4 linked regions of the Notamacropus eugenii genome follow. The protein of the gene in region 1 interacts with the protein of each later gene in a biochemical or structural test. Links are inferred from orthologs where the notes say so. Each region holds a gene or a part of one and is shown on either strand. Other genes may lie near its edges.

Region 1 (7,154 bases):
TTAAAGACCTTCACAACCTGACTTCCTTATACTTTTTTGGCCCTGTTACACATTACTACTTTTCTAGCATTCTACACTCCATCTCCTGTCCTCATCTCTTTGCCCTGGCTGAACTCCAAGCCTTGCATTCACTCCTTTTTCATCTCTAGCTCAGAATCCCTTATTTCATTCAAAACTCCACCGAGGCACCAATTTCTACATGAAGCTTTTCCTGATTTCCCTCCTCCAACTACCACCTTGTATTTATTTTGTATATGTTTACTTACATGTAGATATGTTTACGTAGTATTTCTCACAGAATATAAGCTCTTTGAGGGTAGAGTGTGTTTCAATTATGTCTTTGCATTCTCAGTATAGTCTAGCCCCAGTGTCTGGCACACAGAAGGAGATTAATAAATACTGATTGATGAACCATTTGCAAATCACACTCCCCCCAATCTCAAGTTTTCTCATTGATAAAATGAGGATAACACTTGCACTACCTACGTTACAAGATTGTTTCCAGGTCTACAAAGTCCTTTCCTTATAGAAGTACATGAATGTGTTATTATAAAAAAAAAAAATTAATATCCTACATGTAACAGCTTTTCCAATATTTTAAAAGGTCCATAAAGTCCTACCTATTATTTTTCAGGAAAACCCTTCCCATTCTTTTTACCTATTTCCTCTTAAAATAAAAAACTGAAATCTGAAGAAATGAATTAAAATAATGGGCCCACCACTAAATAGTTATGTGACTTCTGAACTTCAGTTCCCCATACATAAAATGGGGATAATGATCATTTCATTATCTAGATCAAAAGGTCTTGGGAAAAGTTTAGTAAATCTTTAAATGTTAGTTATTTATGATTCATATTGAGTAAGCCCAAAGTCCAAGGATAATCACCTCTGATTTGCATAGAAAGCCACAGTCACAAGGGACCCCTGGCTCCTGCCCTGGGGTCTTATTGATTAATGAGAGGTCATTACATCAGGCTCACCCCAGTCACTCCACCAAGACAACTTTTTGCCCAAGTGATTGCATAGGACACTCCCCCTCACTACTACCTTCCTGCCCTCCTCCCCTTCCCCACCCCCTCTCTCCCCTATTTCCACTTCTAGCTCTGGGAAAAGTAAACCTAACAGAACTACCATTATAACTACTTCTGCAAAATCAATTGCCCTAAGGCTCTACTCCCCTTTGACTTTACTCTTTCCTGGCTGCCACCCTATATGTGAGGATTCCCTCATTAGAACATAAGCTCCAAGAGGACAGGGTCTGTCTCCCTTTTGCATCTGATTCCCATGGATTAGCATACAGCTTGGCACATAAGGAGTTTAATGAATGTATTTTCATTTATTCACTGAAAAGTAGAGCTGAACTTCCTAAGAATTTTGGCTTAAAATTCTAGAAGACTAACAATACACCAAAAAATGAGCAAACATAACATCTAGGTATCTTGGTATAAAAACTTAACACTTGTTAACCCTGACTAAATGAACAGTCATGGCAGCTTTGTTAACTCTTAAAAACAAAACTAGAGAGCTCACACAGGTTAACCACAGTTAATGCTAAAAATAAAGTAAAATAAAACCGAAGAGCTAACAGTGGTTATAAGCAAATTGTTTTCCTTACTCTGTTGGAGATTTCCTGTTGGAGGAGGAAACTAGACATACATGTGGCAGGGTCCCCTCTATTAGGGGACACTCCCCCCTTCATGTGGACAAATCTCAATACAAACGACCAATGGCTTCGCAGTAAGCTGTAGCCCTAACAATGGAGAGGTAACAGCAATGAGATAAATTTGATTCGCAGCAGGTCTGTTCAAAAAAATAAAAAGCTTTTATGCCAAGTTCAGGGCACAACTTGCTTGTTGAGCCCTACCTCTGGAAAACAGGTTGTCTCCTAATAGTAAAAAGAGAGAGGATCCTGACATACTCCAATGGGCATAGAAGGCCATGAAGTGGATAGAGTACGGAGCCTTTAATCTGCAAGATCTGAGTTCAAATCCAGCTGCATTACGCTCCGAAAGTCACTTAGCCTGGGGGCCTCAACTTTCTCACCTGTAAAACGGGGACGCCAATAGCGCCTCCCGGGATGGTCGTGAGTCAGATATGATCACCGTAAAGCCCTTAGCACACGCCTGGCACGTGGTGTTCTACAAACGTTCGCTGCCATTACTAACCCCGGTCTAGCCGTAGACAAAGCGCTTAACCTCCCCAGGTTTCCATGATCCCATCTAAGGTTCCTTCACAGCCGGACTCTTACGGATCGTGACTGGCAACTGCTTAACTCCCTGTAATTAATACTCGGTATTTCGGAAAGTGCCCCTCCCTCACTTCCCGGAGAGAGGAGGAGGAGGAGGTACCCAAGGTAACGGGTCACATGGGGGGCACCCGCTTCAGCCAGGTAGACCAGGTGTCCAGGATTCCACGGTTGTTCCAGCTCGGTGCTGAATGGTATGGGCAGGTGGGGGAAGCAAAGACAAACAGAAGCCACCCAGAGTCAAGAGAGGAGGATGGGGAAAAGAGAGATTGAAATGCCGGCGCTCGCCTTCAGGGCTGCAGGGGAAAGGGGAAGAGCGGAAGGGGTGATGCGCCTCCCTCCCCGCCCCCTCCCTGGGGATTTAAAGCGCTCCGCCCCGGGGTCCAGGCCCGGGGAAGTGGGGTATCCCCGGGCGGTGGTGGCCGGAGCGGACAAGGGGAAAGGGCGCCCAGATCCGCGAATGCCGAAGCAGAATCCCAAAGCCCACGGAAGCGGGACGCGCTCTCCCTCGCCCCCTACCGCAGGGCTCCGAAGGCCGCAGCCTCCAGAGGGAAGGCCGTCTGGGTCCTCTCTCCTCCTTCCAGCCTGTTCTCCCCACAGGCAGACCGCTCACAAGCTCCACACTCACGCGACAGCTCTCACTTCCGGGTTTAAACAACCCTCAGTGCGCAGGCTCCTTCCATGGCGGGAGAATCCGGGGAGATCGTAGCCTTCGTGGCTCCCTCTGCGCAAGCGTACCACTAATCCTCTCCTTTCCCCGCCCCTTTCTCCTAGGCAGCGGTACGCTAATAGGGCGCGACGTTTTAATAGAATGACCATTCTCCCTCAAGCCCCTTATTAAGATGCGCTGCGCAGGCGTGTAACCACCCAAGCTCCATTTCCTGCCCCGCCTTCCTCATTCCTGAGCGGAAATGATGTTCCTGTCAGTCAGGGTTGGGGCGGGGCGCGTTTCCGCGCCTTTCTTTCTTCCTAGGAGCGATTGGCTACAGAGGACCCAGGGGGCGGGACGAGTTGCCTCGGGTTCGGTGCAGCAGCTGACGCCGCCGCAGGGACCGAGAGATGCGGTCTCGGTGTTGCTACGCGGAAGGTTTTTGAGACGTGCCTGGGGTCTCAGAGTCCTTCTAGAGGCCTGATCATGCTGTTACCGTCCGACGTCGCCCGGCTAGTGTTGGGTGAGTGGAGCCTCGGGGCGAGCCGAGCTGGTCTGCGGCTCTGCGGCTTACCTTTGGGGAGGTGGGGTGGGCGGAGGAGACTGCCTCCCAGCCCAACCGGCGACCGGCTTCTCCTTAGCCCTGGGGGCGAAGGCAGCCCCAGGCCCCTTGGGTCGAGTAGCGCGGCTCCCCTGCCACGGGTGCCCGAGGAAGCAGACGCTCATCCCGACGGGAGGCGAGGCGGGAAGGTGAGGGCTCGGCCTCGGGGAGGACCCTGACGTGGGGGAGGAGATGGCTCTTCCCTGCCTGCCCTCAGTTATCCGCGTCAGGGCCGGGGCTGGGCGGCCTTGGAGCGGGGCGAGCACAGGCCAGGGCCTCCTGGGGGGAGCGCCTCCTGGGGGGAGCGCCTGCCGAGTCCTCAACGTCGCGTTCCGAGCCGCGGGCTTGGGAGCCCCTTCGGGAGGCTTTGGGCCGGCTCGGGCCCACGGCCTCTCGGGCGCTGCTCCACGTTTTAGAGGCACCACCGTTATATTTTTGCAGTTTTCTGGCGAGGAGAAAAGGCAGATTGGGCCTTCGTTTCCAGCCCTCCATTTGGATGACTCGGTTCCTTCCATTGTCCAGCTTGTGTTGCCGTGGTGGGGTGGGCCATTCCAGTTTGGTGGCTCAGTTTGTGTGTGTGTGTGTGTGTGTGTGTTTATATTCTCTGAAAATGTATCCACAGTTGTGTTGCTAAGGCTTGAGCCGCATATATTTTCAGAATCTGGGCCTGTGACAGAGACTTGACATATTTTTAAACTGGTTTTTAAACTAATATTGTATGGGGTTTTTGATAAGATGCGGTGTTTTCGGGGCATTTTCACTGGCTGCCCTTCATACCTGGAATTCTCTCCCTCATCTCTGCCTCCCGACTTCCTTTGAGACCTGGCGAAAAATCTCACTTCCTTTAATGCCTGTTCTTTGTTGGTTATGTCCAGTTCGTCCTGTATATAGGTCGTTGCACATTGGTATTTGCATGTTTTCTTTTTATAGATGTTCTAGATGCCTCTGTAGTAATCCTTCCTTGAATTTTGCCAAACTGAAGCTTACTGGTCTACGCTTTGAAAACATACCTTTTTGAACGTTATGACAGTATTTGTGCTCCATTCCTGTGGCACCTTCCTTTTCTCTATAATCTTTCAGAGATCCTGACAATGTCTCAGGTATCATAGCTACTGCTTTTAGTATCATAGGAAATAGTTTATCTGGACCAAGTGACTTAAACTCAAGTAGGGTAGCTAGGTGCTTTCTTAGTACTTCCCTATTCATCCTACTTCTGCTAAAAAAAGAAAAAACAACTGGAGAGATGCAAGGTAGACAGTGATACAGTTGGGTGATTGAGAATTGCTGAAATGTCCATAGTCAGAGTAATCTTTATTGGTTTGAGGTCTTCTTGGAAGTCCTTGGTAGGGTGTCCCTGGGATCTGTCCTTTGTTCTTCTTTGCTCATGTAAAAGTTTTTGTCGGTGACTTGGATGAGGTCTTTGATAGCATGCTTATCAGAGTTTCAGATAATACAAAGCTGGGAGGGATAGCTAACTCTTTGGATAACAGAATAAAGACCCCAGAATCCTGATAACCTTGGCCAACTCTAATGAAATGAAATTGACTAGGGTAAATGTAAATAAACTCTTTACTTATCTCAAAAAAAATCACTTTCACCCATGCAAAATGCAGGGGGCATGATTAGGCCAAATTTGGCCTGAAAAAGAGCTGAGATTTTAGTGAACTATGAGCTCAATATGTATCTATTGTGTGATAAAGGCACCAAAAAAAGTTAATGTGATCTTGGGTCAACATGGATATGCATAGCTTTCAGGAATACTTTCCCTACTCATACCACATCTAGAGTAATGTCTTTGATTATGAGGGCCAGAGTTCAGAAGGGACACTGATGAATTGAAGAGTGTCCAAAGAATGATGATGACCAGGATAGTGAAGGGACTTGAGTCCGTGCCATATAGAGATCAGTTTAGGTGAATTAGGAGATGAGAGGTTTAGAACACAATTCTCTTTGTGTCCAAGCAGCAGAATTAAGAACAGTGGGCAGAAATTGCAAAGTGGCACATTTAGACTTGATACCAGGTGGGAAAACTTATTAACAATTATAGTTTTCTCTGAAAATGATGGGTTCCCTGTCATTGAATGTCTTTAAACAGACTGGACAACCATTTGTTGAACGTATTGTAGCAAGGATTCCTTTTTAGATACAGATTAAAATAGTGACTGCTGAGGTCCCGTCAAACTCTAAAATCCTATGATTTGTTGAATGTATTGGGAGCCTTCAAAATCTCTGTAGCAGGGTGGAGGGCAGGTCTTGCTCTCCCAGTCTCACCCAGCCTGGAAGTGCAGCAGCTAGCTACTCATGGGCCCAGTCCTACCACAGATCAGCACAAGAGTTTAGACTCGTTCTGTTTCCAACCTGGGTCATTTCACCTCTCCATTGGCATTCTGCTTCCCTGTAAGGATCCATTTTGGTGTTGTACTTAGTAAGGACAACTGATCAGTCTTAGCACACCGTAACTCAGAACTCATGAATTTAAGCAATCTACTAACTTCAGCCTCCTCAGTAGCAGACAGGCACCACCACTCCTAGCTAGATCTCTTGAAATTGTGTGGGTACTAATGGAGCATACATGCTGTCCTTCAATTATCTTGTTCCTCTTGCCCTATGGGTGAATGACCCGTATTCTCTTTTAGCCATACTTTTTATGCTTTTCTTTCTGTGCATTTCTTCTTTGATAATATGTTGCAGACTTATTTTCACTCACCATTAAATTGTCCACTGCATAGTCATCCACAGCTTTGTCAACTAGGAACAGAAGAATAAAAATGAGAAAATATCAATAAGTATTTTGGCTTACTGTGTGCCAATCACTATATCCAGACATTGGGGATGCAAGTACAAAGAATGAAACATTCCTTACCTGTCCCTACTCTGAATCAGATTACATTCTAATGGGACACGCTGTGTGTGTGTGTGTGGAGGGGGGAAGAGGACAAAGACCGAGAGAGGGAGAACACTTAAGTGCGAAGATATAAAATGAATAAATGAATATATCCAAAGTAGTTTGGGAAGGAGGACGCTGGCTATTGGGAGGAAATGCTTCATACAGAAGATGGTGCTTGAGCCACATCTTAAAGGAAGACACTGCTAGTATAAAGGCAGGGAGATGAGACCATTTGTGAGGAAGGGGTCTGTTTGACTTATTTGCAAAGTGTGAGAGGAATTGTAATTTCCACTGAAACTGGAAAAACAAGTTGTGGCCAATGTGTATGAGGCTTTAAAAGCTAAACAGGTTTATATTTGATCCTAGAGACTCTAAAAAGCCACTAGATTTGATCGAGGAGTCACACAGTCAAATCTGCTTCAGGAAAATTAATTTGGCAGTAGTGTGTGGAGTGGAGAAAGACTAGAGGCAGGAGAACACTTAAGCAACAAGAGATGATGAAGGCTTGAATAAGTTAGTGCCTGTGTGAGTGGAGAGAAGGGATGAGATTGGAGTGCTATTGCAAAGGTAGAAATAGCAAGATTTGGCTACTGCTTGAGTATGTAGGGTGAGAAAGAGCGAATGAGGAGTTCAAAACAATGTTAAGATTACAAACCTCAGAAATTGAAAGGAAAGATGCTTTCCACAGAAACTGGGAAACTTTCCTAATGAGTTGAGTTTTAGATTCCATGTTGATTTTGAGATGTCTCTGGGCCAGTTGGTTTGAAATATC
Region 2 (7,003 bases), on another chromosome or scaffold:
ATCCTCTTGATGTCATTGATACGTGGGCCAAAGTTAGCCAGCTCACTCTCCAACTTGGACTTTTCCTGTAGATTGAGTGCAAGGTGCCGGGTCTTTGTCTGTTCCAGGTCACTCTGGGAGTATTTGAGCCTCATCTGCAAGCCATGAGCCTGAGACTGCACCTGCCTCAGCTCAGCCTCCTTCCGCTTGGCCTTCATCTGTTCCTTCAGCTCCTCTGTCAGACGTTCTTTCTTTTCCTTCAGTTTGTCAACTGCTTTCTCATCCCAGCGGCGGGCCTTGGCTTTGAGGTCACTTGCCCCTCCAGAGATGACACCGGACTTCTGGAAAAGTGTTCCATCTAGTGCCACCGTCTTGTGTCTCTGGTGGCCACCAAATGCAATGCGCCGGGCATCTTCAACATTATCACATACGAGAGCATTGCCACAGGCATACTGGAGGGCCTTCTTGATGTGTGGTGGTTCATAGCGAATCACATCAATCACCAGCTTGGCCCCCTTCAGTTCTCGAAGCTTCTCATCTGTTGGTTTCACTTCTAGGTAGTCAAGTGGTAAGAAGGTCTCAGGCTCTCCACGCTGTTCCTTTATGTACTGGATACAGTCCCGGCCAGTTTTCTCAGAATCCACAATGATGGCATCCATATTTTTGCCCAGCACCTTAGTCACAGCAATCTGATACTTCTTCTGTGTTGGCTGGCACAGATCAATGAGACGGCCATACACGGAACCAGGATAGAGGCGTTTGATGCTTTCCATTATCTCTGCCTTGCGTTGCTGCCGGCTACTTTCCTGTCGGTCTATGCGGGCATCACCAAGCTGCTCCATCACCTGATTCAGCTCTTTGTTGATTTCATCAATGCGCTGTTTGGCAAGTTTAACTTCCTCAGTGAGTTCCCCCTCTAGTTTTTTCTGTTCCTCCAGAGACTGCTTGCTGGTGGTGATGTATTCTTCCAGCTTCTCAATTCGCTTCTGATTCTCTTCAATTTCTCGAAGTTTCTGCTTGATCTTGGCCTCTGTCTCAACTTTCTTTCGCTCCTCTAAGTCCAGCCGGTCCTGGTCAGCCTTCTGGTCCCGGTTGAACTTCTCCAGCTCCTGGGCCAGGGTGGCAGCTCTCTTGCTTGCCTCCTCCTTCAGCCGGTGGTATTTTTTCACTTGGTTCTCCTCCAGAGTCAAGTCCCGACCCTGGCTCTGACTCTCTTCCTCCATGCGATCTTCAAACTCTTGCCTTGCCTTCTCCACTGACACCATTTCCTTTTCTAGTTCATCCATATCACCCTTTCTCTTCTTGTACTGTTTCTGGGCATTCTGCAGAGACTTTTTGGCAGCTTCCAGCTTTTTAATTTTGTGTGAAGTATTCTCCTTGGCCTTGATGTACTGGGGCCGCTTCTGATTAAGCTCTGAGTCTTTCTCCTTTATCTCCTTTTCAATCTGCTGCTGCTCACGCATCATTTTGCCTAGTTCTTTCTTTTTGTCTTTTAGTTCTTCTTCCACCTTGTCCATGCGCTTCTTCTCCTTGTCAATCTCCTTGTTCTTGGAAGTCAGTTCCTTATTTAGTTTCTCAATCTCCATCTCATTGTGATACAGTTTGAATAGCTGTAGCTGCACCTGCGCACGAACGACCTCATCTTTCAGCCTCTGGTAGCGGTCAGCCTCCTCTTTCTCTTGCTTGGCTTCTTTGCGCTCAGCCGCAATATTTTTCTTCCGGTGGTAATTGAACTGGGTATCTTCCTCAGCCTTGACCATCTCCTTCTTCCGCTTATCATACTCCTGGGCCAGTTCCCCAGAGCGGCTGATCTCTTCAAACAAGGCTGTCCGCTCCTTGGGGTTCTTCATGGCAATAGACTCCACAGCACCCTGGAACACGAGGAAGTTCCGAGCTTTGATGAGGATGCCCAGTTTCTCCAGCTCTTGGCTGTATTCAAGCAGCTGGACCACTTTGTTATTGATTTTGTACTCTGAAGAGCCCCCCACAATTATCCGGGCAAAGGTGCGGTCCTCACCGCTGTCCTCAGAATACACCATGCTGACCGCTGCACGGTTGGCGGCTGGCTTGCCCACGGGAGCCCCGTGGATCAGATCCCGCAAAGTCTTAACGCGCAAATTGCTGGTCTTCTCGCCCAGCACAAAACTGATAGCGTCCATAAGGTTTGACTTCCCTGAGCCATTAGGCCCGATAATGGCTGTGAACCTACGAAAGGGCCCGATGATCTGCTTGCCCTTGTATGACTTGAAATTCTCGATTTCGATCAGTTTTAGAAACCCCATGGCGATGCAATGCGGGGCTGCAGCACCGGAGAGCGCGGGGGCGGGGACAGGGAGGCAGGCCCGGGGCAATGGGGGGTCCGGGAACAAACACAAACAGCGGGATCCCGGGCTCTAGTCAAGTCTCGCGAGACGCGCCGTGCGCGGGATCGCGCGCGCTTCTGCGCATACGTGTGCGCGCGCTTGCAGGAAGAAAGGCGGGACTCCAGTTAAACCCCCCGATTCCAGTACTCGCCTGCCTCCTGCGTGCCCCCGACGAGCAGGGTGAAGCCAGTTCTCTCTGTATTTCTTGCTCTTAGTCGGCCTGGTGCGCTTGATATGCTCGTAATCCCAGGAAGTGCCGGGGGAAGACAACCCCGCCCGCTCCCAGCGTCCTCAGGACTTGCCCGCTTTCTGCGCCTGCGCAGATGAACCGATTGAAGCGGAAGGGACGACCCCTCCCCCTTTGTCGTCATCCAGCTCTCTTGCTCCCGCCTTGTGTACCTAATGCGCATGTGCACACTGGCGGGCCCGCGGAAGGGGTGGGAAGCCTGCAGTGGCTCTTAGCCCCACCTACGCCCTGGCTTCTCCCCTTGCTCTCCGCTTACCCGTCCAGTTTCTTCCCGCCGTGAGACTGACGGCTTTCTCTCTCTTTGGCGCGCTTTCTCCTTCCTCCCCTCTCCCGCCACTTTCCTCTGCCAACCAGAGACCTTTTTTTCTCCGTTTGCTCTCCGTCTCTGTTTTTACGTGTGTCTGTGTGTGTGTGTGTGTGTCTGTCTGTGTCTGTCTGCCTCTGCCTGAGCTTCATCGCCCCCCCCCCCCCCCCCCCCGGCCAACATCTCCTGTAAAGCGCGGGGTGGGGGTGGGGGTGTGCTGGGGGTGGGCTGGGGTCGGGGGCTGTAGGATTCCACTGCCCACCAGGCATTCATTCTGTCGGCGGATCTTTATTATTGGTGTGTTCACTCTGCCTCCAGCCTCTCTCTCCAAACCCCTCCTTTGTCCCGGGTCTGTCACAGTGATCCCCCAGGCTTGCTTATGGATTCTTTGAAATGTTTCTTTGGAATGCTGCCCTTCTGCAGATACATTGTTTCTCGAAAGGTGTAACAGAATGGATTCATTTTTACCAACTGTTAACGGGCGTAGTGGCCGCCAAGTTTTTAGTTTTGAAACCTATGATCGTGAGAGTCTGGAAGAAACCATCAAGATTCACTTAATGCTTCTGGAAATTATTTTCATTCTCTTCACTTTTCCATCTTTTGAATGTTTCCACTCTTTTTATCGCTTTGAAAAGAGTGTTCCATTACATGCTGCAGTATTTCCATTTTCTTCTTGGTTTATTCCCCTGAATTACTTAGGCAAAGAATAATTCACCAAAACAGGGGGATCCTTTATGTTTGCCCAGAGCCCGACTCCTTGACCTATTTACTCTAAGATTACTACAAAGAAAACATAATCATTTATTTGAAACAAACTTGCTTACCTCAGGAGCTCTAGAATAGAGAAGTACATGTGAATTGTTGGAACTGAATAAATTGTTGGCACTCGGTGGGATTTTTGTCTTTTTCCAACAAATATACCAGTGTGGAACCATACACAGAAGAAAGAAATAAATGGGAAGTGAGCCCTCAATTGAATATTATCATATTTGTCACTAACTTGTTCCAGTAATTACTCTGAACACAATTGCTGTTTTGTGAATTTGGAATAGTAGTTTTCAATTCAAATAGTATATTTTTTCTTAAAACCAAAAGTCATTGAAATAGACAATAATTAGTATAACTTTTGTTTTTTGCAAAGAGAAGCAAAATAGAACCTTTGCTTGAGGATAGGATCAGAAATCATAATTTCCCATTAATCTTGGACTATGGGTAAAATTTTATTTCATGAGGACCTCATTTGAATGTCATCAGAACTATCTATAACAGACAACTTTAGTATTCTATTTAAAATGCTTCTTGGAAAAAAATGAATTTGCTAATAAAATATTTACCTGGATTTTTGAGTTGTTATTGGAATATCAGTTTTTGCCAGCACATTTGTATACACACACACACATACTGTATATATATATATATATATATATATACATACACACATAAAAATATGATTATTAATGACATTTAATATTCTTGTCATACATTTAAATGTATATTTACCTGATGGATGTTATAACTCTTTGTGTACTATATGTGCTTGCTTATGTGCTTTTCTTCTTCTAGGAAATAATGTTATGCGAACTATCCATGGTGTTGGAGAGATGATGACCCAAATGGTCCTCAGTAGGGGATCTATCTTTCCAATGTCTGTCCCTGATGTACAGCCTAGCACCCATCCAATCAAGCAAGCAAGTACAACTGATAATGAGGACATCACTGTTATGGACACAAAATTAAAAATAATTGAAATTTTACAGGTAAAGAATTTGATAAAAACAACCTAGCAAATACCCCTCTCAACTTAGGTTGGTCTGATGATCATAGAGAATAAGAAAACCATTGTTAATTGTAAAACACTAAGAGCTATTCTCATTGCCATTTCCCCTTTCTTCCTCACATTTGCCCTAAACTTGCCACCTGTTACATGTAAGTTCATATAAAAAATGCTCATATATAGTTTATTTTATTTGTTGTGAATATGGTATGTCTCATAATGGCATTAACTTTTATTCAATATTATGTCAGTTCCTTTTTATTTAAGATATGACACACTTTATTATTATTATTATTTTTTAATTCAAGAGTTATTTGATGGCAAGGAAAGCCCATGACAACTCTAAGTCTATAATAATAATTTATGTCTGACAGCATTTGATTTTATTTATTGATGTAGATAATGTAAAACTGGGAGGGTAGCTAACACATCTGACCTCACTGGACATTATTCTCCCTCCTGCATTTTGCAATACAGCCAACTGGACTTTTATTTTTTTTCCCTTACACATGAAACTCTGTCTCCTGACTTCATGCCTTTATACTGGCTGGTCTGTACTCCCTTATTACTTCTGCTTCATAGAATCCCATTCTTCTTTAAGACACTGCTCAAACACCCTCTTTTGGGTGAAACCTATCCTGATTCCTCCAGTTGCTAGTACCCTCCCTCTCTGACTCTATTATATTTAACTACTTTGTATATATTTGCATTTATCAGTTTTAGATTTATACTGTATGAATAAGCATTTATTAAGAATTTACTATGTTTAAAGCATACAAATAGAAGGGTGGAGACAGTATCTCTTCTCAGGGTTTCTGTGTCTACTCACATTCTAATAGGGGGATGCATCACATATCTATCTGGTGCAAGTCAAATGAAAAGATTCCATGACCGTTAGGGGATAGCAGCAAAGCAGATAGTGAAGCATCTTCTTTAATAGTCATTTTCACTGATAAAATCACATTTGTTTTTAACTTTAAGCTCATGGACAGTGACTTTCTTTACTGAGTCTTCAATAGATGTTGCCTTTTGAGGAGGCAATGACTTTAACCCCTGAAGAAGCAGTTGCCAGGTTACATCTTTTCAGAAGTTGCTTTTTTGGGATGGTAACTGTTAGTTGGGGCTTGGGTGGCCCCCAGACCCTGACTCTGTTTGTATTTTTATATATATTTCCTGTATCCCTCATTGAAATGTAAGGTCTTTTAGAGAAAGGGTTGTTATTTTCTTTGTACTTGCATTTATACTTGTGACTAGAACAATGCCTGCCACATTACTTGATGGTTAACTGATAAATACTATTTCCTCAGATCAGGACATCTTGTGAGTAGTGTTTGATCCCTAACACAGGTTGAGAAACAGTTCTATCAGATAGGGCACAAACAGATAACATACAATTTCTTCTTGGTCTCCAGATAGTTCTTTGATTTCTAATTTATAGATCATAGATATAGAACTGGCATCTAGTCCAACTCCCTCATTTTACGTATGAGGAAACAGAGAGGTTGAGTGATTTGCTCATGCAAATATTAAGTAACAGAAGCAGCTGTATATCATTTAAACTTTGAAAGCAATCATTTATATATGAACCAATGGACAGCAATACCTTGCAGCCCCTCTGCCTTTGGTTAGTTTGTCTTTTTAAGGGGCATGCTTGTGTTCGAAGGCCTCTCACTGTGTTTCTCCTTAAGCCTTGTACCCATGGCACTGTTTTTTCTCTTTAAGTTGCTTTTGTTTGTGTTTTTCGTCTTGAGTGTGAGTCCTGCCTCTATCGTAATGTGTAATCTTGGACAGATCTTTTATTTTTTTTTCTGGTCCTCAGTTGCTTCAAATGTCTTTAAATGTCTTTTCCAGCTCTAAACTGATAATCATATTATCCTTAATAAATACTTGTTGATTGATGTCTACAGTCAATGGATCAGTTTAAAAATAGATCTTTTGCATAATACTAAAGTAGAAAAAATGAAAAAAAATCCTAGTTACATTCATCAAATCTTGTTCTTATCGGATACTTTTAATGCTATATTACATGTACCTGACAGCAAACTGCTCCATTTAGGCTATTAACATAGGTCCTGACTCCCAGGGTGAATCATAGATATATCTGGCATCAAAACTTGGGAGTACATACAGATCTTTTGTACCTGTTATAGCTGAAAGTCATGCCTTTTTTGTGCCTGAATGAGGGATTTGATTATCATCATAGTTCCTCAAGGAGAAATCTATGTTATTAGGTGACAATATGACATCATTACCACTTGAAGCAGAATAACTCAGTGTCTTCATCTGGAAAGTTTCACCAAACAGGTGTGCTTTGATACTACAGTGGAAGATAACTG
Region 3 (7,010 bases), on another chromosome or scaffold:
GTCTCCCTGGCTTCCTTCAAGACTCAGCTTGGGTTTCCCTTCTCTCTCCAGCCATTGGTACCCCCCCAGTTCCTCAATATCTTAGAGCATTTAGAATTTAAGTTCCCTGAGGGCAGGGCAGTTTCGGCCTTTCTCCTACTCCCCAGTGTCCAGTACTTAACAAATGTTTGTCAACCTAAGGGAGGAAGAAGCTAACTGGGGGGCCCCATGCATGAATTTCTTCACTGTCCAAAGGAACGCAGGAAGAGGAAGTAACAGCTGATCTCCCATTTTCTCCTAGGCTACAAGTGAAGGTCAACCCGGTTAGACCTGGACCAGTATTTCTCACATGGACTGTTGTGCCTCTTCTCATGAAGCCGCACCCCCCCACATCCCCCAACAACTCTGCCGATCCATTCAGAGGAGCTCACCACATCGGTGCCTGACCTTATTCAGACATGACTGGCTTTGTTGTTCTTGTTTAGTTAATCAGTCATGACTCTTTGTGACCCCATTTGGGGTTCTCCTGGCAAAGATACTTGAGTGGTTTGTCGTTTCTTCTCTAGTTCATTTTACCAATGAGGAAATAGAGGCAAACAGGGTTAAGTGACTTACCCAGGGTCACACAGTTAATAAATGTCTGATGCCAGATTTAAACTCAGGAAGATGAATATTCCTCTCTCCAGGCCTGGCACTCTATCTACTATACCATCTAGCTAACTGAACTAAAACAGTAAAGAATCTTAAGTCCATGTCCTAGAAAGACCAACTGAAAGAACTGGGGATGTTTTTCTGTGAAGCCTTGGGAGGGTGGGGGTAGGGTCATAGGGATGACAAAATAGCTTAATCCACTGGAGCTCATGAAGCGCAGGGATTACAGGTATGCATGCGACACACCATCTGGCATAAAATCCCTTTTAACAGGCTGATGTTTCTCATTAAATCTCAGGGCAGTTGGCTTCATCCAAGCAAAGGCCAATGCCCGGTCCCCCATAGGTAGTCACATCCAAAGGAGCTGAATTCAAAAGTCTCAGGGATGTCCCTACAGTCAATCACATGGGGTCATGGACTGAGGGAAGGTAGGAAACAACCATTTATTAGGTGCTTACTTAGGCACTGTATTGAGTTTTGAGATACAAATACAAGCAAAACCAAGGACACATCTCTGCTTCAAGGGGCTTAGATTTTAATAAGGAAAGATGACACACAGAAAAAAAGCTGAAAGGCTGGAAAGAACAGCTAATCCAACACCGTCATCTTAAAAATGAGGAAACAAAATAAAAGTTCTTCAAAAAAGAGGGTCAATACAAGTCACTGAGATGTGTGGCAAAGGGAACAGCTTTTCCAAAACTAAGTGGAAGGAAAGAAAATTTGTCTAGTGTGTCTTCAGTCCCCAGGTGGAAAGGAATGAGCGCTGGTCTTGGAACTGGAAGGCAAGGGGGTTCAGTCTAGTGTTAATGAATTTCAGTTGGAAGTGACCTAAAGGCCAATATGGTCTGAGACTCGGAGCTTCAGGTTTCTTATCTGTTAAAGGAGAGGTAACAATCTACTAACCTCAGAATGTGGTGGTAAGAGAAATACTTTGTTAAGTGCTAAAACGCTATATGATGGCATTCTTTTCATGAAATCTGGATAGAACAAAGGGATTTTTCATCTGACCATAGGAACTCACTTTTAACCCAGGGTCTCAGTTCTCAAACTTGTAAAAATAAAGAAGTCGGATACACATCATCTCCAAGATTTCTTCCCCGTTCTAACATCTCAGGATTCCGTGTTCGGGCTCGGGCCTTACTGGGTGCCCAACTTGGGCTGAACGCTAACGTGGAAGGGACTGGCAGCTGCAAGTCTCTGCCTGAGAAAATAAGCATGTGGCCCCCGAAGGGGCAGGCCAGCATTCACAAGCCCTGACCTTCCTCAGTCCTTCCTCCAGTCTGGGGCCGGGAATCAGAAATGGGACCTTTTGCCCCGACTCGAAGCGGAGAAATTGCTGGGGTTCTGGCTTTTTGTTTCTTCCCCGGGGTACTGATTGGAGAGAGAGGCGAAAGCCTGGCAAGGGGCAAAAGGAGACGGGGGCAGGAGATCGGAGGGGGGGGGAATTATGCAAACTGGAGCGCGGGTTTCATCAGCTCCTCCGGACACGACTCCCTGGGGCTGCGTGGGAACGCTGCGTGGACCGGAGGAACCCGAAGCTGCCCCCACCCCCTCCTTCCCGACCGTGTGCCAGGCTCAACTTCCTTCTAGGCCACTCCGGACTGTTACTGGCAAGTCAAACGGACGCTCCCCTCGGGCGCCTCCCGGACCTTCCTCTTTCCTCGCCTCCCCTCCAACCGAGCCTGCCGCTTTTTAAAGCCCACCCCTAAAGCGCCCCGGGGGAGCGATTTCGGGTGAAGGAAGGATTGGCAGTGCCCGGCTCCGGGCTGTCCTCCTAGGGGTGCCCGCGCGGACATCGCCCCGGCGTGCCACTACCCCGGGACGGGCGAGGGGCCAGAACGGCGCCAGGACTCGAGCTGGGGAAGAGTTCTTTGTCTCTTCGGTCCGCCGGGGGCCGGGACGCGGAGACCGTGCGGCGGGGGAGGTAAAGCGGGGGCAGAGGTCTCGCGGAAGGCGCCCCCTCCTCCAAAGGCGAGCGCCCGAGCATCCAGGGCTCTCCACGTGCCGTCAGGCCGGCCTTCCACTCGGCCCCTCTCCGGGTCCTCCCCGCCATCCCAGTCCTGGCCCGCCTCGGCTCCCCCCCTCCCGCTGTGCCCCCCGCCCCGGTGTGCCCTCCGCGTACCCCCAGCCCGGCGCGCCCCCCACCGTACCTCCGGGGGTGGTGCTGAAGAGCGTGCCTCCCGGGGTGGTGCTGTAATCCCCGGGCGGCAGCGGCGCGCCGTCGCTCAGCACCACCCGACGGGTGGCCGGGATGGCCCGGCTCGGCGTCTGGCCACAGCTCCCGCCCGCAGACATGGCCTCGGCCTGGCTGCAGCCGCGGACCCCGGGGGCAGCGGTCCCCGCTTCGCGCCCACGCCCCGTTCCGCCCCCAGACCGCCCCTTCCGCCGCCGCAGCTTGGCAGCCCCTCGGGACTTGTAGTCCTCACCCCCCGCCCCCATCCCGAAGCCCTGGATGCCCCGGCTGTCCAGGGAGGTGGCGGCCCCTGGGATCCCCGCGCCGCGCCTCGGGGCGGCAGCCACACCGTGGGGACCGTGGCGGCAGGGAGGGGGACTGCCAGCCTGAAGCTTCCCCGACGTGGGCTCCGCGCGCCCCCGCAGCTCCGGGGAGGGGGGGGGATCGAGCTCTGGGTGGGAGCCCGCCGCGCGGCAACTACTGGCCCAGGCTCCCCCCGGACCCTACAGGGGGCCCCCGGCGGGGGTGGGAAGAACGCTTCTCCCCTCTCCAATTTCCTGCTTTTGAAAGCGCGTGTTAATAGCCTCCAGTGCTAAGCTCCCCAGGGCAGACGCGGGTCCAGAGCAAACGCTTTAGAGCAGCATTCTGAGGACTGCATTTCCCACAATGCTTTGGGCCAGGAGACCCTCGCTCATGGGGTGGTGCTGAAAAATCTCCGTGGACTACATCTCCCAGAAGGCTGTGGGCGAGTACACCACCCTCCTGCTCTCTGATTGGTCGGCCTTGTTTACAACCCGCATGGTTAAAAAAAGTGGGTGAAGGGGTTGGTTCGTGGATGGTGTTGCGAGTGTCACTCCTGTCAGTGCACATTCCAGTAACAGAGAACGTACAGACAAGTGGAAGCTTGTTTGGGTATGGGTTCAGGAGATGGTGTCTGAGATCTCTTCCAGCTCCAGATTCTGTGATTCTGACATTAGCAATGCTATTAATTTCTTACTCAGTTTCCTCTTCTGTGCAGTGGGGATAATAATAGCCCCAAATACCAAATGAGAGATCTGCAAATCCCTTTTCCAGGGTTCTACAGACTGCAAAATGCTGCTTATTGCTGTCACCCCCATCCCGTTTTACAGACGAGGAAGCTGAGGCTAAGAAGTTAAGTGACTCGCCCAGGGTCACGCAGCCAGAGTCTCAGGCAGAATTTGAACTCGCGCCTTCCTGACTAAGTCCGCCCTTCTCTTGACTGCAGCACCTCGTTTCTCCTTAGCTAGCTGGGATGCTGGAAGTTTCTGCCTTGGAGAGGGTAGGAGGGAGCAGAAGGGCTGAAGCCCCGGCTGGTCTTATCAGAGGGCATGAACCTTGAAGAAATGGTTTGGATTGTGTAGAGCTGAGGAGAAACTGAAAATGCACCTTCATCAATCCCACCAAATGCTTAATTTGGGGAGTTTTAGCTCCCAGCCTTCTAGGAGAACGTAGGAGTAGATATAAGTTACTAGGTCCTGTTTTGAATCTCTGTCAGTGGGTGCTAGTGAGAATATTTTTGTGTTTAGAACTGTGTCTGTGTGTCTGTGTGTGTGTAAGAAATAAAAAGCTTTTCAATTGCTGATTAGCTTATTTGTTCCAGTATACATTGAATACTTGTCTGTTCTCCTCTTTGGGAATATCTTAGACATGAGTCAAACCCAGACCTTTAAGAATTCTTCTCAGAGTGCTAAGACAAGAAGGAACCAAAAAGAACTAAAAATAAAACTGACCTTTCTTTTAAATGTCATGCTTCACCAGAACTGAACCCAGGGTTTCGATCCAGAAGAGCCGGGGCCCCTTGATGGAGAGGAGAGAGAGCAGTTCTCCAGACTCTTGGGTCCAACTGTGGTTTTAACTGTTAGATTGATATCACACCTCAGTCTTCCTCTCTGAGACTTCTACCTATTAGACGTTGTTCTGCTGCTAGGACTAAGAAAGGCAAATTTAATCCGTCTTCCAAATGCTATCCCTACACATACTCCATAACAGCTTTCCTTTCTAGGATAAATATGCCTGATACCTTCTTAATAATATGATAGGTGTCTTTCTCCGATTGTTCTCCAGCAGGTTAATATTCTTTCTCAACTGTGTTATCAGAACTGAGCTTAATACTCAGATTTCATCTGACCAAGGCAGAGTATTAGAAAGGCAGCATACTAAGCCTTGAAGTTAGAAAAACCTGGCTTCAAGTACCACTCTCAGTCTGCACCAGAGTTTGTTTTCCAATGAGTAAATAATAAATGGACCTTACATCTATGACATTTAATATTTGACAAAGTGTCTTACTTTAAGGAGGGCAATTTGTTGAATCAATCAGTCTGCCTACTCCACAATAACTAATATGATGTGATCTACCTTGATATTTATTAGTAAGAATACATCTGTTGAATCTAAGGCATTCAATTGGGTGAGAAAAGTCTTTAGTTAATTTGCAAGAAACAAAATGTTTCTAGTTATTGCATGAAATGAAGTGGTGCTACATAGGAAGTATATTGGGGTGTATAGGAAGTATCTGTCACATCCTGTGGGTTAGATAGAAATATTGAGCTAGTTTGAAAGTGGGCATTCCAGTGTTAGGTCAGCTTAGTGTGGGAAGCAGTCCCAGACAAGTCCCATCTCTGAAAGCTAATGAAGCCTGACTGGCTAATTTATATCAGTTGATAATCATTATTGGGGCGTGCTGGTGGGGGCCTGTGAACCAAAGTATTGGAAAACCCCCAACTCCCAAGGGTTATACCTAAGAACCCTAAGGAGAAGTAGCTAGATGACTTTCACAGCCTCACCCTCCCAGTACAAATGGGAGGTTGGAGTAGTGAATGCAGGGCTTGTGTTACACATAGATATAACTCATTCGTTTCTTTACAACAATCCTATGATATAGAAAGGGCAGGTGGTCTTATTCCAATTTACTGGTAAGGTAAACTAAGGACCTAAAGAGGTTAAGCAGTAAGGTCACATGGTTATTACAGATTGTATGACCTTAATTAAGCAAGTCAGTTTACTTCTGAATCTCAGTTTCACCATTTGCAAAACGATAGATTTGTATGAAATGATCTCTAGGGTCCCTTCCAGTTTTGAAAGTCTAGGATTCTATGAAGTAGAAGATGATTCACTTCCGTTCCCCCTGCCCCCACCTCCCAGCCCCAGTCCTACTTAGGCTAGGTAGGGTTGGATCTTTGAGGAACAGTTCAACTGAAAAGGCTTTTTTAATTTACTGGGGGTGGTAGGGTGGAACTTAATGAAGATTTTAAAATATGTATTGCGTATAAGACACTGTATTAAGCACAGGGGATACAAACTTGAAATCAATCAATCAATCAGCACTTATTAAGTGCTTACTGTGTGCCGGACACTGAAAATGACATAGTCCCCTCCATCAAGGAATCCACATTCTATCATATAAAGTTTCCTGTTTCCCAGTCACAGAAATAGCTCCAAGAGATTAGGAAGGAAGGAGATTATCTAAATGAGGGCCCAGAGAAATGATTGAGGATATATATGTGGAATTGGTTTGGCTGATATCTGTTCCCAAACATTAAGCAATAACCTAGCCAGGGAGGAGGATAGCTGGTAGAACTGAGCTTCAGTCTCTTTTTCTACCAAGGGTGCCCCTTTCTACAAAGGGGAGGGTCCCCTTAGTTCCTTGCCTGAGGGCCTTCTACCTCATCTTCAGCCTTAGGTACTGAATGAGACATGTATCAGGACTAAAGGAAATAGACTGTGTAGTTTTAAGATCTATAGAAAAGAAAAGGAGCAGAACACACTGACTTATTTTCACACCAAAGCATTTATTAACTGCCCAACATGAGTATTTCAACACAAATTTGTTTTGCTTGAACACATTTTTGTTAAAAGGAAAGGTTTTCTTGGTGTTAGAGGAGGGTTTTAGTGGTAATGATGTAAAAAAATGTTGAGAGAAAAGAAGACAACACTAGGAAAACATCTAAAAATGCACAGAAGAAACCAAAGAGGGATTTTGAGGGGAACATAGACAAACAAGGCAATGCCTTTTTTTACTACCAGGGGTCTCAAACCCTTCAATGAGGTAGGGAGATATGTAACCCAAGCATTCAAAGACTTCCTCATCAGAATGGGCTGATGAGAACAATTTGTTCCAGTGGCCACTAAAGTGGCTGAAGTAGGCAGAGGAGGGCTTCCAGCTTGGTTATCAAAGCCCTGTGGCCAC
Region 4 (7,450 bases), about 78 Mb from region 1:
ATTCTTATGATTCGCAACTTACAGTACCCACAGTTTTGGGGGGGGCGGGGTGTGTTTCAGTAGACTATGAAGAATTCATTATATTTGTGAACTTATCCAACTTTTAACCAACTTGCCATTCCAGTAATTTCTTGTAGTGATCCCCTCCCGCTTACACCCCATTTTAACATCTACATGCTTGTATTGGCAAGCTGTGCTCTAAAACTCACCTAAAGTAGCTAGATGTACCTACCCTCCCTTTATGCCATCTCCACGGCAGACCAACAGGGGAGTTCTATTATCTCAAGGGGGATTTCTGTATCTAAACATTAAAACCTATTGCTGACTGTGATAGACATGTCCCCTCCAACAACTAGACTGCTTACATGAAACTATCTCTTAATAGATACTGTAGGATTTTTAACCATCACTGTTGATGGTGATTAGCACATTAACACAATGATCCTATCATCTGCTTCATGAAGTTTTGCTATTTAAGGTAAATCTTTTGGGACTTGAATTTGATCTAGTTCTGAGTTTTTTATATCAGGTATACTTGTAAGCACAAAGTCAATAACCCATTATTCAAGAGACTGCCATGTGCTGTGAGCTGAGAACTTTTGAGGGTGGATGTTTGCTCTGGGGAGACCACCTGGTGAAGGTGAAGGTAAGATCATCTTGACTTGGTTTCCCATCAAGCTACTTACTTTTTCAAAGGGAAATTTTCCCACCTAGATAATTTGAACCTGGCTTTGATACTCTGTGAATAATGTGGAATTTGAATTGGCTGTTTTGTCTGGAATAAAAACAGAGCTAAGGGTTCCCTTGTTGTGGCTTCTCTGTATCATCACAACCAAGTCTCTCCTTTCCTTTCATAGCAAATTTCTATAATAAGGGCTTGAAAAATGGGAAGTGTGTGTGCCAATTAAAGCACTTCAGCTTATAAAATGGATTTAGAACACACAATTACTAATACTGAACCATTTGAGTTACCTTAATAGAATATAAATATGAAATATCTTCCTTGATTTTCCTCTAGCTTGTAGTTTTGTTTGTGTATGTAATACAGGAATAACTGGTTGTTGCCCTTTGTTCTCAAAGAAGAGCAAAATAACATCACTACGTTGGAGTCGAAGTACAATATATCTGACTGTGGCTGATCAGACCAATACAAGCTACTACAGGTCAGACACAAATAACCCATATGAACATTTGGAGTGGATTGTAGTTTTATTCATATATATAATGTAGGAATATACTCCTATATATTCTCATAAGGGATGAATTAGGAAATGTGACAATTTTCAAAATTGCATTTATTTTACATGAAAAACTGCATTGATAATTGTGAAGGTGAAATTATTTTCCTATTTGAAAAATCAATCTGATAAATTTAAGAGAAAGACTCACTTTAGAAAGAAAAACTCATTTTCCAATTCAGGACCTCATGATATAACAACTGAAATTCTCTGATGTTTCAGGTGAGTTATTTTGATACTCTTCTTATAGCTCTATTAATAAAGTCAGAATCATAAAGCCTGAGCCAGAAGGTTGTATTGATGGTGTCCTCAGGCCCCAGCCCTAAGATCATTATCTGGAAGCCTTTCAATTTCTCAGTAGGCCCCTGTCCTGTGAGAAAATTTTCTCGTTGAAGAACACATTCTCTTACCAGAACAGAGAGGAGCCTTGCTCAAGGATTTTTGTCTCTAATTGGCCCAAGAACTCTCTTGGAACCAGACCCTTAAGGTCCATGCCTTTGAAAACTCCCTCAATGTCTGGTATTCCCTATACTTTCCCATCCATAGCTCCCAAAGACACTTGGACCCCTAGATTACCTAATTAACATTCCTGACATTCCTTTCCCACACCCCTTTTCTGTATAAGCCCTGGCACCATCCTAATTCTCTTACACGTTCCTTTGCCTGCTTTTGCCACAGTATTACAATAAACTTTTTGCCATTTGACTAAGAGAAGACTTGAGTGTGTGAATTCATTCCAGGCAACTCTGCCTGGACATTCTTGGGGTCCCAGCACCCCCAAAACCTTGTCAGTATTAAATTGTATTGAGTTGGTATCAAGTCTTCCTACAGGCTCTTAGAACCTGAGAAGCAGATCTGGAAGGAAGAGTCCCTTCAGACTCCCATGAGCACGTGGCTTATTCTAGAAATGTCTGTTACCTCCTACATCTGAGAATTCCAAAAGTAGGCTGAAAGAATTCCACAAAGGGGGGGTGGGGCTGCAATACGAATTGGACCTTTTTCATCTACATCAAGAATTTCTAGTGAACTGCCTGAACCTGACAAAGGACTTTGCCAACACTCTCATTTCTCTCTTTTCCTTATGTGCTGATGCCTCTGTACCAGGCGGGATTGCCCCCTAAAAGACTTTGTCAATGTGCTAATGATAAAGGTAGTTATAAGATTTAGCCTGATGGTTCTGAGGCCATCATGATGGTTTTCCTCTTGAGGGAAAATCAGACATTTCCCTCCCTACAGCTGCTCCACCATTAGCATGTAAATGTAGGGACTGTCTTTTTGTCTGAATTTGGATTTACAGCCCTTAGCAGTGTTCAACATAGAGCTTACCACACAGCAAGTGCTTCATCTATCTTTCTAAATATTTGTCCTATGTGATTAGTCTTGTTATTTAGTTTCAGAATGCTAACAACCAATAGAAGTTGCAGAAAGACATACTGAGGCTCAATATAAGTGAAAGTTACCTCATAAAGCAGTAAGCTCTCCCACAGGAGTTCTTCAAGCAGGGTCTGGAGAACTGACCACTTGTTTCCATTGCTGAAGAGGATTCCTGGTCAGTTATGGGTTGGACTAGATCTAAGATCTTTTCTAACTCCTGAGATTCTGTGAACTTTCCTTATTAATTAATGTAACGAAACTGCATTTAAAGCCTTAACAATTTGGCTCTAGTCTGCCATTCCAGATTTACTACACATTGTTCCCCTTCACATGTACCTTCCAGTCAGAATATACTGACAGCACTTCCCATCTTTGCCCAGACTCTCCCTATTCCTGGACCATACCTCCGTCTCCCTCAAAGCTTGACCCTAGAGCTATTTCCTACAGAAAGACCTTCTTGATCTCCACCCCCACCCAATTCAAGTCATCTTGAATTTGTTCTGTATGTTGTTCTACTTAAACATTGTTGGCCCTCAATGGAACATAAGCTCCTTCTGGGCAGGTTTAGTTTTTCACTCCATGCCTTTTAAGTGGCTGTACCGCATGCCTGGAATCCTCTCCTTTCAAGTCCTACCTGCTTACAAGAAAGCTTTTCCAGTGCCCCTTGTTGCCAAGGGCCTTCCCTGTGAAAGTTTGATTTTTTTTATTATTAAAGGGGCCATCCCTTGACTCACGTTTTAAAGAGGCCTATTCCCTAAACGGGCATTACCTCCCTTTCAGTGAGTACCTGAAAAGGCCAGCCTAAGGAGACCAAGGTCTCCCACTGCCTCCTGGGCCATCTCCAGCCACCCCGATGAATATCTGGTCATGGAGCCAGGTGGCCCAGGAGGAGAAAGTGAGGCCGGTGACCTCGCATGGCCCTCGCTCCCTGACATCAAAGTCAGGGGCAAGTCCCGTCATCAAGGGAGACGGGAGGACGGACACAAGTCTGACGGGACAAACACCCACACCTCCCACCTACCCTCTGCACGCAGCTGTCCACCCCTCGTCTCCCCGTGAGATGGCGAGCTCCCTGAGGGCAAGGACCTTCCTTCCCTGCCGCGTCCTTGGGTCTCCGCTGCCTAGCACCGTGCCAGGCACACACAAGTCGGTTAATGAGTGCTTATCGGTTACTTGGCTGCAGCACCTGGCCGGTAACGGCCGGGATTAAGTGCGCTTGGGTGGACACTGGCTGCTCCGCCCGCCCTCCGAGCGGTGATAACAGCGCCTGCGGAGGGGCAAGGCGGCAGGGCGCCCTCGGACCCCGGCCCCATCGCGGGGAGGCCCGGGCCGGGGAGCTCGCGGTGTGGCCGGGGAGCTCGCGGTGTGGCCCGGGGAGCTCGCGGTGTGGCCGGGGGAGCTCGCGGTGTGGCCGGGGGGTGCTCGCGGTGTGGCCGGGGGGGTGCTCGCGGTGTGGCCGGGGGAGCTCGCGGTGTGGCCGGGGGAGCTCGCGGTGTGGCCGGGGGAGCTCGCGGTGTGGCCGGGGGGGAGCTCGCGGTGTGGCCGGGGGAGCTCGCGGTGTGGCCGGGGGGGAGCTCGCGGTGTGGCCGGGGGAGCTCGCGGTGTGGCCGGGGGTGCTCGCGGTGTGGCCGGGGGGGTGCTCGCGGTGTGGCCGGGGGTGCTCGCGGTGTGGCCGGGGGAGCTCGCGGTGTGGCCGGGGGTGCTCACGCCCCCTCGCCAGGACTCACTTTCTTCCACTGTAAAAGAGAGTGCGAGGAGGCAGGGTCGGACTCGGTGACCTCGAAGCCCGTTTCCGGTGGCGGATGAGGAGAACAAGCTGCGCCTGGGTCCAGAGAGCGCCGACCGGACGTTAAGCCGGACCAAACCGTCCGCGCTTGCGCCCTTCTCAATCAGCCACGAGACTTCGCGACCCTAGAGGTGAGAAAGTTACTAGAGGGGGAGATGACGTCACCTCCGAGGGGCGGGACCACACAGAGGTAAGATCCTACTTTTTCATTGGTCGCTTTCCGGGGATGTTTCTCTAGCCTGCGTTTCTAGCTCGAACGGGTTCCTGGCCGTACCAAAGATGGACGCAGAGACTTCACGTTTCTCTCGCGCGTCCGAAGCGTGCGCACGCCTCTCTAGCATTGCCCAAGCCCATTGGGTAAACCTGGAGTATCGTCGGCGTTGATTGGCTGAAAGGGGCGGAAGGGAAAGCAGCCAGCGAGTTGATTGGCGCAGCCGTTCGCGGGAGAGTGTTTGTGGCGCCAAATAGAGTCAGGTTTCTCCTAGGTGGGGACACTGCGGGATTCCCCGGTTCGGAGTGGACTTTGTGGACCCCGGCCCCGCTACGGCCCTCGGGGCGCTGCGGTCAACATGTGGAATAGTAATGGAGGAGCTGGGCGAGGGGCTTTTAGGGGACGGGGCGCAGGAGGGGAAAAGGGAAATGTGCAAAGTGGTGGAGAGAGAGGCTCGGCCAGGTCCGGAGGATGGGGGTGCTGAGGTGGGGGCAGCGGCGGAGAGCGGTGTGGCAGCAATGTGGGGCGGGGGCAGCTGGGGAGAGGGGTCCTGGAGGGGTCTGGAGATGGGGTGCTAAGCGGGGGACCGGGCGGGGCTCGCCACGCATCTGGGGATAGGTGTCGGGGGGGGGGCGGGACCCCAGAAGGGAGGGGGGAGAGAGACCCGGCCCTGAGCTGGGGCTGGGAATCTTGGGGGGGGTGGACTCAGGAAGGGAGGGGGAGAGAGACCCGGCCCTGAGCTGGGGCTGGGGATCTTGGGGGGGTGGACTCAGGAAGGGAGGGGGGAGAGACCCGGCCCTGAGCTGGGGCTGGGGATCTTGGGGGGGGGGTGGACTCAGGAAGGGAGTGGGGAGAGACCCGGCCCTGAGCTGGGGGTGGGTGGACTCAGGAAGGGAGGGGGAGAGAGACCCGGCCCTGAGCTGGGGCTGGGGATCTTGGGGGGGGTGGACTCAGGAAGGGAGGGGGAGAGAGACCCGGCCCTGAGCTGGGGCTGGGGATCTTGGGGGGGTGGACTCAGGAAGGGAGGGGGGAGAGACCCGGCCCTGAGCTGGGGCTGGGGATCTTGGGGGGGTGGACTCAGGAAGGGAGTGGGGAGAGACCTGGCCCTAAGTGGGGGTGGGGGCGGGGTGCTCTTTACGGGGTGGAGGATTCTTGACCCCTCCGACGTCTTTGCCCTCCAGGTGGGTTTGATGGAGGCTATGGGAACACTTCCTACGTAAGTGGAGGCTACACGCAGCCCCCAGGGGGATTTGGCACTCCTACCGCTTCTCAGGCTGAAAAGAAATCAGTAAGTTGAAAATGAACACTTGCTACTGTTTCGTTTACTTCTTCCTAACGTGACTCCTTGCTTAGAAAAGAATACCCATTTGGGGTATTTTAAGTCTAAACAGGATTGACATATCAGATGTCTAGGGGCTGGGCTGGGCCGGGCCAGAAAGGATGTGGAGATAAGCTTAATAAATGTTTATCCAGGCTTTCTTTATTTTGTATTGGTTTCTGTGGTTTCATTTTTTAGCTTATTAATTAGCATCATAGAGAAACAATAAAAACAGAAAAAGGAAAATGAACAGAACATTCAGTTGATCAGCATAGACAGTAGAAATAAAATTGTGATTTTTCTGACTTTAGCAAGTAGGAAAGGGCTTCCTGATTAGGTACTGGAAGTGAGTGTAGTTAATTGGAACCTCCCCTTTATCCTGAGGACCACAGAAGGGAAAGGGGATCCAAGTGGTGGGGTGAGCCCTGGCTCATAGAAATCCTCAACAGTAGCCACAACTCCCATGGAATCACTTCTGAAATCTACCCAAAGGACTGTCTCAAGATGAGGAATACATCCCATCCCTTTCTCTTTTACCTCTACTTCCGAGGGCTCTCCAGCAATATGGTTTCACTTTAAAATTTAACGCAACAGCTAATGAATCTTTTCCCAAGTAATTTGCTCTTCCTCACATTCAAGGCTCCATCTTCCAGCTCCATGCCTTTGAGACTTTTGTGCTTTGGAATGGTTGGATTGTAGATCTTGACTTTTTCTAAAACTAGCTGCTGATTAGATTACACATAGACAGCTGATTCTGATGTATTCCCTATTTCAGTATCCAGTTTATTGTAAAGGTAGTTTGACTTCTTTTGTCATATTGTTTATCAGATCCATTGTCTTTGAGTGTCTACTTGGAAAAAGTATTCATGACTTCTGGTTGAGAGACTTCTGGGTGGTTAACATGCTTTTGGCTTTTTTTGTGTGTTAAACCTGAACTACATTTTCCAGCCTCCTCAGAACCCAGCTTTATATTGAAGATGCCAGTTATCAAAATAGACATAAACTTGGTTTGCCGGTGCTTGTCAGGTTCTTTATATAACTTTCTACTTCTTCGTTCTCTGCAATAAATGTTGCCCCGTGAGCTGCCGTTTCCTTCACAGGGGTCTCTGCTTCAGCTCATCGTGATAAACACAGGAAGGTGACATAATATGTTCATTGAAATGTTTCTTGTTATTGCTCACACAATGAAACCAACTCTGTGGATTCTTTCATTTGCCTTTCCAAGGAGAACCTCCCATTTAGTTCAGCTGCCTTCTGAATCTGTTTTCTCTCATTGACGGAGGAGAACTTCAGCTTTATCTACTCTGTTTCATTTTTGTTTTTACTATTGAGTCTTAGTATCCAACTGGTTCAGTTTTTCTTTGAGATCCCTGTGGTGGTACGAGGGAGACTGACAGGTGCTTTCTCTTTACAGAGAACACGAGCCCAGCACATTGTCCCTTGCACCATATCACAGCTTCTTTCTGCCACCCTGATTGATGAAGTATTTAAGATTGGGGACATTGAGATTTCACAGGTATGGC

The links.
Region 2: the proteins of ATM (region 1) and SMC1A form a complex in vitro, tested with the Homo sapiens proteins (2 studies listed by BioGRID and IntAct, with this or other methods). The link is inferred for Notamacropus eugenii from reciprocal best matches to the Homo sapiens genes ATM and SMC1A.
Region 3: of the proteins of ATM (region 1) and EIF4EBP1, one has a biochemical effect on the other in vitro, tested with the Homo sapiens proteins (2 studies listed by BioGRID, with this or other methods). The link is inferred for Notamacropus eugenii from reciprocal best matches to the Homo sapiens genes ATM and EIF4EBP1.
Region 4: of the proteins of ATM (region 1) and RPA2, one has a biochemical effect on the other in vitro, tested with the Homo sapiens proteins (3 studies listed by BioGRID). The link is inferred for Notamacropus eugenii from reciprocal best matches to the Homo sapiens genes ATM and RPA2.

What each region holds. Positions count from the first base shown.
Region 1 is NC_092876.1:146,774,863-146,782,016, forward strand, and holds the start of ATM (serine-protein kinase ATM), read right to left. Parts: upstream 3,025-7,154; 5' UTR 2,874-3,024; exon of another isoform or gene 2,765-2,873; intron 1-2,764.
Region 2 is NC_092874.1:178,917,635-178,924,637, forward strand, and holds the start of SMC1A (structural maintenance of chromosomes protein 1A), read right to left. Parts: upstream 3,008-7,003; 5' UTR 2,262-3,007; coding exon 1-2,261. Other genes in the region: inositol 1,4,5-trisphosphate-gated calcium channel ITPR2, read left to right, coding at 4,457-4,650. UniProt on the Homo sapiens protein: Involved in chromosome cohesion during cell cycle and in DNA repair. Central component of cohesin complex. The cohesin complex is required for the cohesion of sister chromatids after DNA replication.
Region 3 is NC_092872.1:622,944,893-622,951,902, forward strand, and holds the start of EIF4EBP1 (eukaryotic translation initiation factor 4E-binding protein 1), read right to left. Parts: upstream 3,021-7,010; 5' UTR 2,926-3,020; coding exon 2,781-2,925; intron 1-2,780. UniProt on the Homo sapiens protein: Repressor of translation initiation that regulates EIF4E activity by preventing its assembly into the eIF4F complex: hypophosphorylated form competes with EIF4G1/EIF4G3 and strongly binds to EIF4E, leading to repress translation.
Region 4 is NC_092876.1:69,021,191-69,028,640, reverse strand, and holds the start of RPA2 (replication protein A 32 kDa subunit), read left to right. Parts: upstream 1-4,436; 5' UTR 4,437-4,529; intron 4,530-4,636; 5' UTR 4,637-4,967; coding exon 4,968-4,977; intron 4,978-5,790; coding exon 5,791-5,897; intron 5,898-7,341; coding exon 7,342-7,443; intron 7,444-7,450. UniProt on the Homo sapiens protein: As part of the heterotrimeric replication protein A complex (RPA/RP-A), binds and stabilizes single-stranded DNA intermediates that form during DNA replication or upon DNA stress.